Linked DNA regions of Drosophila melanogaster. The protein of the gene in region 2 interacts with the protein of the main gene of each other region in a pairwise test. Each region holds a gene or a part of one and is shown on either strand. Other genes may lie near its edges.

Region 1 (4,270 bases), on a different chromosome or scaffold from region 2:
CAGGCGAAGACAAACACCCAAACGACTACAACAACATTAATGCACCACGTATTTGCTGCTCAACTCTCAGTTTTTCTCTCCTCTTTTATTTTATTTTTTTTGTAAGAAAATGCATGATATGAGCCAATCGATTGGAACCTCTTTATTCTCTATCGTTTAAACAAATCGTTGTTGTTGTTGAGAATTCTTTTAATTCCTAACATGCACTACTCTGCTAGTGTGATTATTTAGTTTTCTTTTTTTTGTAATTGTTGACCCGGAAACGCACGCGTATATATATATACAAATAGAGAAGTATCCAAAACACTGTGAGCATGGCCAGGTGCCATGGAAAAGCAAGTTGCGAGGAATTATGAATGCCACATGATGATGACCGACCCCAGAATGCGAAAGTCACTCACTTATTTACCTCTTTTTCGCCCCTAATAGAAAGTCTAGTACTTATACATATTTGTTTTTGAGTTGGGACGCTAGAATAAATGTTGGGGCAAAGCAAACCAATATATATGAAAACACAATTGTTGAGATGTTGCAAAGCATGAGAATGAGAATGATTCATGAACGAAAACGAAACGAAATAAATGATATTTATGTAAGAAACTCATAATCGAAATTATTTCAGTGGAACTTTGAATATCGGAGCCGTGTCGCGAAAACGACAGAGACGGATGATGGACATTTTGGGAGCGGAATAAGGGACACCTGGTTTTTCCCACTGATTACCGGACAACGCATTTCGAATTGTCTTTTTTGTTTTAATCATATCGTTTTGATCGGGATCACACAATTGGGTTATTCTTAGTTATTCTTATTTCCTTCAAAGCATTACTAATACAAAATGTACAAAGTATATGATTTTTGTGTTTGTTCACAGAAATAAATATGTAGGTTTGGAATACAAAATAACAAAGTGAATCTCTATATACTTCTTGCTTCCATTAGCATCCGTTATCAGTAAATACAATACTTGGATATACAACTTAAAGAAATCAATTCACGTGTTCCCCTCTCTTTGGACTTGCCGGAAACTAATAACAAAGTTTTTTTTTAACTGTGCTCTTAAGAATTAGATATGTGTTTTTGCCATACAAAAAAAGAGACGAAAATTACAAGTTACAGGTGTGTGTGTGGTGTGTGTGGCTTGTGTTTGCTGTTCTGAGTGTTTGCTATGCTTGGGGTGCTCGTTGCGCACGTTTTGAGTTTAAGGCGTTGAGTTCATGGGTGGTCAAATGAAACGGATCAGTCAGTCGAAGGCTGCACTCCGCTCTGCTCTCCACAAGCGTATATGATTATTAGCCACGATGCCGGAACAGTGGGCGGATCGTATTGGATCGGTATGTGGTATGGTATGTGGTATAGTATTGCGTTGCATCACTTCACATCGCATCACATCAGAACGTTTTACAGGAAGTAGGGCGTTGTGTTCTGCTTGGGTATCACACGCTCCGCATCCGGAACAGCCAGGAAGATCTTCGTCTGCCGCTTCTCCGCCGTTTCGAAGCTAAGAATGGCGGCAACGTTGCCGCAGCGATAGCAATAGTTTGGCGCCGACCACACGGTCACCAGTTTGCCATCAAACATATACTTGATGCCCTCGTTGACCAGCTGATGTGCTCGGCATATGAGGTTCAGATTATTGATCGCCATAAAGTCCTTGGTCACATTGTGGCCAAACAGCCAGCCAGCGCCGCGCGGACTCTGGCCCCAGTACTCCATGTCCTCGGGATCGGACCACACCAGATCGCAGAAGGCACCCTTGTACGGTATCTCGCCGTTGCGATCGATCGTCCTGATCTGGTCCAGTGTAATGATCTCGGGACTCAGGCCACCGTGCACGCACAACACCTCCTCGTCGATGATCTGTGTACATTAGGGGCAGTGGGGTAAACATATATGTAAATGATTAAAAGGGTGTTGTCCACATGAAGTATCCCATAGTTCAACTCACGGCAGCGATGGTAAGCAAATCGAAGACCTTGCAGCAGTATTTCCAGCCATTGGCATTGCCGTACTTGCTGAAGCACTCGTCAAAGAATCCGTACACCTTGGTGATCTGCCGCGTTTCGTGGTTGCCGCGCAGCAGGGTGATCCGGCTGGGATAGCGCGCCTTCAGCGTGAGCAGTCTGGTGAATGTCTCCAGCGAGTAGTAGCCCCTGTCCACGAAGTCGCCCATGAATATGTAGTTGGTATGCGGCACCTGGCCTCCAGTGCGGAACAGCTGCTCCAGGTCGTAGAACTGCAATTTGGGGGTGGAGTGCGATGGCATTGCGTTAGTGGACATTGCAATGACGTAGGAGACGAAGACGGAGGAGATGACCGCTTACCTGGCCATGGATGTCACCGCAAACGGTGACGGGCGTGCTCACGGGCAGGATGTTCGTCTCCTCCAGGAGGATATCGCAGACCATCTCGCATAGCTTCTTCAGCTCGTTCTCCGGCAGGTACTTGCATTTCTTCACGTCTTCTATCCACTTGTCCACGTCGCCCATGATGCCCGCTGCCTGTGAAATCCACGGTAAATCGCCTTAAAACAAGTTAATAAATAAGTATTGGTTGCACGTCCATCTGCGCACCTACGGTCACACTGGCTGGTGTTCAATGGTTATCGAGCAACGGTTATACTGCTGCCCACGGTTAGAGTACTAAAAAATTGATCTAAAGTTTCTTCTATTCTTTTTATTTTAAATACTATTGTTGAGTATTTTATTTGCTTTTGTTTTCCATCGATAAATGGTGCATCAATTTTTTGTTTAGCCGATGCAAGCACCAGTCGCATGGGACGTTCTTATTAGAACTGTATACTTGGTGTGTACACACTGCGTAGCGAGAATGTCACATGTTATCGATAGCTAACACATTTGAATTCAAATTCAAAATATTTAATTACTTTGGCGGTCGATTTTGTGTTTTTCTGTATTGTTTTCTTTGGTTTTGTGGAGGCAAGCGAAATTAGTTGCAATTAGCCTTTAGCCGCCACAAATCATAATTAGTCCGCAATGAAAGCTTTTTAAATCCGTTTATTTTTTAACCCAAACCCATTTACATATATATACATATATATTTTCTTTGGCTTGTTGAAAATAATCACGCTCTTAGATTTTATTGCCATCGCACGCCACGCTACTTGTTCGCTGTTTGTTTTGCAGCTCCGCTCATTTTTCCGGGCAGCAAGTGTTAAGGGTTATGAGAAGCGTGCTGGCATGCGTTTTTCGGCACGGGGTGGCACATGGGTTAATGGCCCTGCAGCTTGTTTAGAGTCTCATTAGCACGCTGCCATTTGATTGTGTTGGCTTCTTTCATTTACTTTTCGCATTCGCTGGATCTGAAGTTGGGAAAATAAACGTGCCATAAAGGTGACAATTCGCGAATCAAGGGAAATTGGTAAAAAAAAAAAAAAAAATGAACGTTTCACGGGTTTCGAAGCACAAAATATATGCAATTTATTCAAAGTTAGGATGCTAAGCATATATTCATAGAAAATAATTGAATTAATTGTTTGTATTCGCATTTAATTGTGGAATCGAATTAAATGCAATATCTTTTAGTTTTGCAAATCGAAACTGTTGTGCTCGCCACCCATCTCTTTCTGCCACCTACTCTCCGTTCCTCTCTATCACTCTCACTCTCTTACTCTCTCTTTCTCCCCCCGGCGAAGATGTCGTGCTCCATCATTAGTGGCGTTACTTTATGCCCTTCCGTTTTGGTATTCAACTTGGGCTTGTTCTCCCAGCTGCTTTTTGTGCTCTTTTGGCCATCTTGCCAGTGCTTTCCATTCAGCCATCCAGCCATCCTGCCCCCCCAATGCTGGCCCCAATCCGCTCGCATCCTTCCATTGTCCTTGCCGCTCTGTATGTCGCTGTTTGTGTCCGCCTGGCACAATGTTGACAATTAAGTTAAACTTGTTTTCTTACTTCGTTTCGTTACGTTTCGCCAATTCCGCTCGCCCTCTAAAAGTCAAAGTCCTGTCGTCTGCGGCTGATGTGGCTGATAATTATGTGCCCCCTGCACGGACGCAAAGGACACGGACGGCGGAACAAGGACAACGGACAGCGGACAGCCTCTTGGCTTTATCTTGCTGCAAACACGGTGCCAAAAATTCTAGAGTTTCGAACAATCGGTTAAAAAAAAAAAAGTCTTGGACTTCATATTTTAACAAATTCCTCGGCTCACAGAGTTTTTTTTTTTGTATTCTCAATTAAACGCAAAAAGATTATTACACCTTCGGCTATTTGAATGGTATTTTCAATATTTTCCTGCTGTGTGCAGTCAG
Region 2 (5,229 bases):
AAGTCGTTTTCCAAAATTGCTTCCCTTTGGATTCTGCAAAATTTCATATTAGTTCTTGCTTTATACTAAAGCTAAGTTTACTTACAATATCATTGAACAGCATATTTTTATCAGAAAATCAAATCGCTGTTCGTCCGCAAACACGGAATCCCAAATGCGCAGTACATCTGGCAGTGGAAACTCCTGCGACAGGAGCAGTGTGAGCCACCTGAAGCTGTAATACTGCGGATGCAGCTCTTGGCTCCTGAGTAGCTCGTAAATGCTTAGGTCCTTTGATTTCAGCATATTCGATAGCCTGGCCATCATGAACTTGATGCCGCCTTCTGCGTCGTCTAGTGTTTTAATAAAAAAGTCTCTTATCTCGCTCATCAGGGCGGTAAAACAAAAGAAACAATCAGCCTCAGCGTGGGCGCGATATGTGAGGTCAGGATCGGAGGCCATAACATAGTAAATGGGTCCCACGATTTCGTTCATGCCCTGGACATATCCCTGGCCGGGATTTAGTTTGGCATAGATGAACAAAATGCGTTGCACAACTTCCCAGTGAGCCTCTTGGCCCTCCTCCATGGCGGCATAGTTTTCAACGGAGCGTTTTGTAATCAAATTTATCTATATAGAGCACACATATTCATTAGGTTTGGGGCAGTTCCAGATGGGCTTACTTACTTGCTGCTAAAATCCACACGGTATGCATGAATGAAACAACACATTCTGAGCTTATTGTCTAGCACAATTCCGATCTTGAACTCACCTTTGTCATGCCGAGGCCCTTGCGTTCCACATTCGCCGAACTTAGAACGGCGGGAACCACCCGTTCGTGGAGCCTTCGTCCATGCTCTCCTTTGCTGTGGACCACAATCTCGCAGGGATAATCGGTGGGCTGCTGGAAAAAGGATATGTCCGGGCACAAGCGGCGGACATCCTTGTCGATTTGCAGTAGAAACTCGTTATCATTGAAGAACGTGTTCCACGCGCTTTCGGGTCCCTCGCTCAGCGGATGATCTTGCAGGCCAACGCCCCCCGAATCGACTTTGTCCCCATCTCCTCCGTCTACGCTAGCTCTATTGCTCGAGTGTCCGGGGGGCAGGACTAGCTCCTCGATGAACTGTTTATACAGGGCTCGCTTTTGGGCCAAGGTTGTGGTCCAACTACTGCGCCTAGGCCCCAAATAGCCAAGGAGTAGCTTCCAACTGAGTGCTCGAAAACTCTGCACATCGGGCACACCTGTGGAGTGCTCAGACTTCAAATTTTGAACATTTCAAATGCACTCTTAGCTTTCTACCATTAAATGCCAGTTTCCTGAGTTGTTTCAGGTCAATTAAATCCTGTGGCCCCGCCAAAACATCCTCAAATTCCTTGACTCTGCATTTTGGTTAGAGAAAGTCTTTGTTTACGGAGAAGTTTGGATTAGCTTAGAATAACAGCTTACCGCGCCTTGAAAATAGACATGCTGCGGCTTTATGTGGGCGGGGCTATGCTGAGATCTTGCAGTACCCCTATGTGTAATTAATTAAAGCTTTATCTCAGTTTTATGCTGGGTGAAATCTGCAGGTATAAAACACAACAAAACAATGGGCGTTGCCAGATGGTTCGAGCTCTAATCGATTATTCTCTGCGACTATCGATTTTTGAGTGCATTGGGCGGTAAAATTCAAAGTTTTTAACGATTAAATTTTATAAATAAATCGAAATTTTAAATGGTTTACTGTCCTCGTAAAAATGTATGTAATTACCTTCTGTCTTAATTGTATTGTTCTTTTTAATTAATTAATTGAAAAACTGTTTTTAAGCTGGTTGCCAGATCTTGTAAAGCTGAAGGCGCTATTGTTTAAATTGTAAATGAAAATGATTAAATCATGATTATTAGATATTGCTTGTATGTATTTTCTTTGCTCAATCAAATTTACTAACTGAAACATCAATTAATCCATTCATAATTCTCCGCGTCTCACTATTTCACTGGATTTTGAATGAATAATAATATTCTGTTTTCGCTCATTTTCTCTGATTTTTTCTCCGCTTTTATTTGATTTTTCAATTGCCTACTAGTGCACACACACACGCAGTCGCGAGCAGACGCGTTCGAATCGTAGAATTTAGCGCATATTTCTGAATGTGCGGAGCATTTCTTTTGTTTACTCTAGTCGCTGGCCAGCAATGACGACCAGCAGATCATCGGCGTCCGCGTCATTCAGTCGACCGGCTTTCTGGAAGGTGCCCGGTTACGAATTGCCCACGTCCTATCGTCCACAGCCGACCCCAAAACCGCCGCTCGTACCGCTGCCATCGCCCTGCAGGCGGCGCAGCAGCAGCGGACTGAAGAAGCGCGTCCATTTTGCCGATGAGCAAAACGTGGGGGTAAGTCCAAGTGGCCGAGAAAAGTGGAAGCCCCAACCCCTTTCAAATCGCCCGGCTTGTCAATCATCGCGCGTGTGTTCTTTTCTTATTCGTATTCCAATGTATTTGTGGCCCCAATTCACAACAGGCCGACTCAGAAATCAGTTCAATAACATTTCGCCCCTTGCGGCTCGTAAATTTGTCAAGCCAAATCTAATTAATTGGCCACTGCTGCACTTTTCGGTCAAGTAAAATGGCCCAAAAAAGATGGATGGATCTATATTTCCATTGGCATGACTTTTATACCATTCGCAAGACGTTGGGTGAAGAATTTCGAATGATTTACAATCCGCTCAAGGCTGATCTACAGCAAAAGTCACCGTAAAAACATTACACGAATTCCAATTGAAAATGAAATGAAAACAATTCAAGCCGCAAATAGTAAAAACATTTCAAGAGCCAGCCAAAAAGTGCCGAAATCAGAATGTATAAAATTAAAAATGAAATGGCAAGCCATATATTGTGTATATATTCAGCGAAAAGCCAAAAGGCAGGAAAAGATTTTTCCGCTGTAAACAGTAAAATTGTTGCCAAAATCGAGAGGCAGACAGAATGTTTAATACAAACCAACGTCCTTCAACCGTTGACCCGTTCATATTGCGTATACGTCACGTTGGCCGTAGACTTTTCCATTGACTAATGCATTAAAAATCTAATATGATTTGCTTATTTAAATTGGGCAAGAGTGTCGAATTGGTTGTTGCAGTTGTGCTAGTACCGCCTCAGTAACTAAAACTAATTACACTCTCTCTTGGTTGCCTCATCGTTCGGCAAACAAGTCGGAGAGGAATAAAACACTAATAAAATAGTCGAAAATGTCGAGGAAAAACAGATGCCTAGATACTTGATTTTTATGCTTTTTTGCATCAGGCGAGCTAGCTCATCAAAGCATTCGCCTAGATGATGATATGTGGCATTCATCTCTTCAGGGTCAGCGTGCAACTGGATCAAGTGCTGCCCTAAAATGTGGTCAACGAAATGCAGAATGCCACAAATGCAGGGCACACGTCGAATTAAACAATGGGAACAATGTGGGAAAAGGTTTGAGTTTGTGGTGGCTTGCGGATGCTCTTCGCGATTTGGGTATATATAATAATGAAAATAGTAAAGCTTTAAATACATGGCACACATGCAAGCAATCATGTTTATTAACACTGCGTATGCGTAATTTGATATGCAGCCGCTTATCAAGTATACGCCTAATTATCTTGTGGTAATTATGAGCTTTGCCGAGGTAAATGCTCCTGATGCTTTTTGAATCCACGACATCCGCTCTGAGAAATTCAGAGTGCTCTTAGCGGAAACCCCATTTAACGATTAGGATTCGCCAATCGAATTCATGTTTCTCAGCATGTAGTCGCCGTTGCCGGCGGATATAAGTTGTACATGTATGTACATATGTGTATGTAAGAAACAAACTTGTGGCGCAGTGTACTCTGCTGCCGCTGCTGTTGCTGCAAAAAGGAATACGAATTGTATTTTAAAATTAGTACTTGAGCAGCTTTGCGATCGAACAAAACGCTTAACGGATTGCAATCGCGCGCCGCCTGCGGCTCGGCCAGAAAAGGCCAGAAAAAAAAATAAACAATAAAAAATAAATATATATTTTCGGGATAAACCATCGCTGGATCGGATGAGCGTCTGATCTTCCAGTCTATCTTCAACATCAGGATGAGCCCCAAGCTGCATGAGTTTGCGGTGGTGCTACTGCGCGATGGTCAGGCCACGCCCTGGGGCATTCGTTTGGTGGGCGGCAACGATCTGGACACGCCGCTAATTATCACCAGGGTAAATGGGCGTTATATAACCAGAGAGACTGTCGCCTTGTGGTCGCTTGTGGTCCATTCATCAAAATTGAGCCAGAGAAGAAATGCCTGAGGAAAAGCGATTGGCCTTTGTGCCCCGCATGCCGCTTTGTTCTCAGCGCCCAAATAAACAACAACAAATCAAAATAGCGAAACGGGCACAGCAACAATAAACGCTGCAGCGTTGCCAAAATGCGACGCCAGTAAAACTAATTGAGGCGCAACCGAATAGTCGAAGAAAATTTCCACTTTTCCTACCTACCCCCTTTTCACTGAGCTGCGATGTAAACACACACATTTTGGCGATCATAATTCTGTCTGCATCTATTTAGGCACCCATAAATCTGTGTCAAGGTTGCAACCAGCCCGTTGCACCCTATACTATGTGTGTCTAATGACCTTCCCACCTCCTTTTCCACCCCACCCGTTGCAGGTGCAAGTGGGCAGCCCAGCGCATGGCGAACTTCTAAGAGGCGACATCATCTCGAAGATCGGCGAGTACGACGCACGCGACCTGAGTCATGCGGATGCACAGCAGCTGTTCCGCGGCGCTGGCAACGAGATCCGCCTGGTGGTGCACAGGTGAGCCAGGAAATCCGTGTATCTGCATCAAAGATACCAATCAGTTCCGTATGTTTAACATCAATTTCTTCTACGAGTGTCAAGTGTATTGAGTAAAGAGAACACCTTCATTTTAGTTTTCTGTTTTTTAAACAGGGCTTTTATCATCATAAAAGTTAGTTGATTATAGTCATAGTATAAAAAACTTAACTTAAGTTTTACTCCATTGCCAAAAGGAAACCTTCGTCTTGGATCAATTTGCACTAAGAAACGTTAGGAACTGATTTTTCTTTTGTATGGTCTGTGATATGACAAATATTAATAATTCTAAATTGCAGGGACAACAAAATCGCCTACACGCAGGGTGCAACTCAGGAGGCAGGTCCTGGATCTCGGAGCAACTCCACTTTGCCGCCGGTCACTCCGGATCTGATGCCCCACCGCGGTCCGTCGCCCTTTTTGCCCG

What was found. Proteins that work in one complex are often made in the same cells at the same time.
Region 1: the proteins of Zasp66 (region 2) and PpV interact in a two-hybrid assay, tested with the Drosophila melanogaster proteins (one large-scale study listed by BioGRID).

The regions. Positions count from the first base shown.
Region 1 is NC_004354.4:6,370,328-6,374,597, forward strand, and holds PpV (protein phosphatase V), read right to left. Parts: upstream 2,589-4,270; 5' UTR 2,490-2,588; coding exon 2,325-2,489; intron 2,237-2,324; coding exon 1,949-2,236; intron 1,861-1,948; coding exon 1,402-1,860; 3' UTR 738-1,401; downstream 1-737. UniProt on the Drosophila melanogaster protein: May be involved in controlling cellularization or in regulating transcription of the genes involved in this process.
Region 2 is NT_037436.4:8,622,326-8,627,554, forward strand, and holds the start of Zasp66 (Z band alternatively spliced PDZ-motif protein 66), read left to right. Parts: upstream 1-2,045; 5' UTR 2,046-2,157; coding exon 2,158-2,358; intron 2,359-3,883; exon of another isoform or gene 3,884-4,068; coding exon of another isoform or gene 4,069-4,185; intron 4,186-4,635; coding exon 4,636-4,784; intron 4,785-5,101; coding exon 5,102-5,229. Other genes in the region: GAPsec (GTPase activating protein, SECIS-dependent read-through), read right to left, coding at 1-33, 86-609, 752-1,224, 1,283-1,362, 1,430-1,449.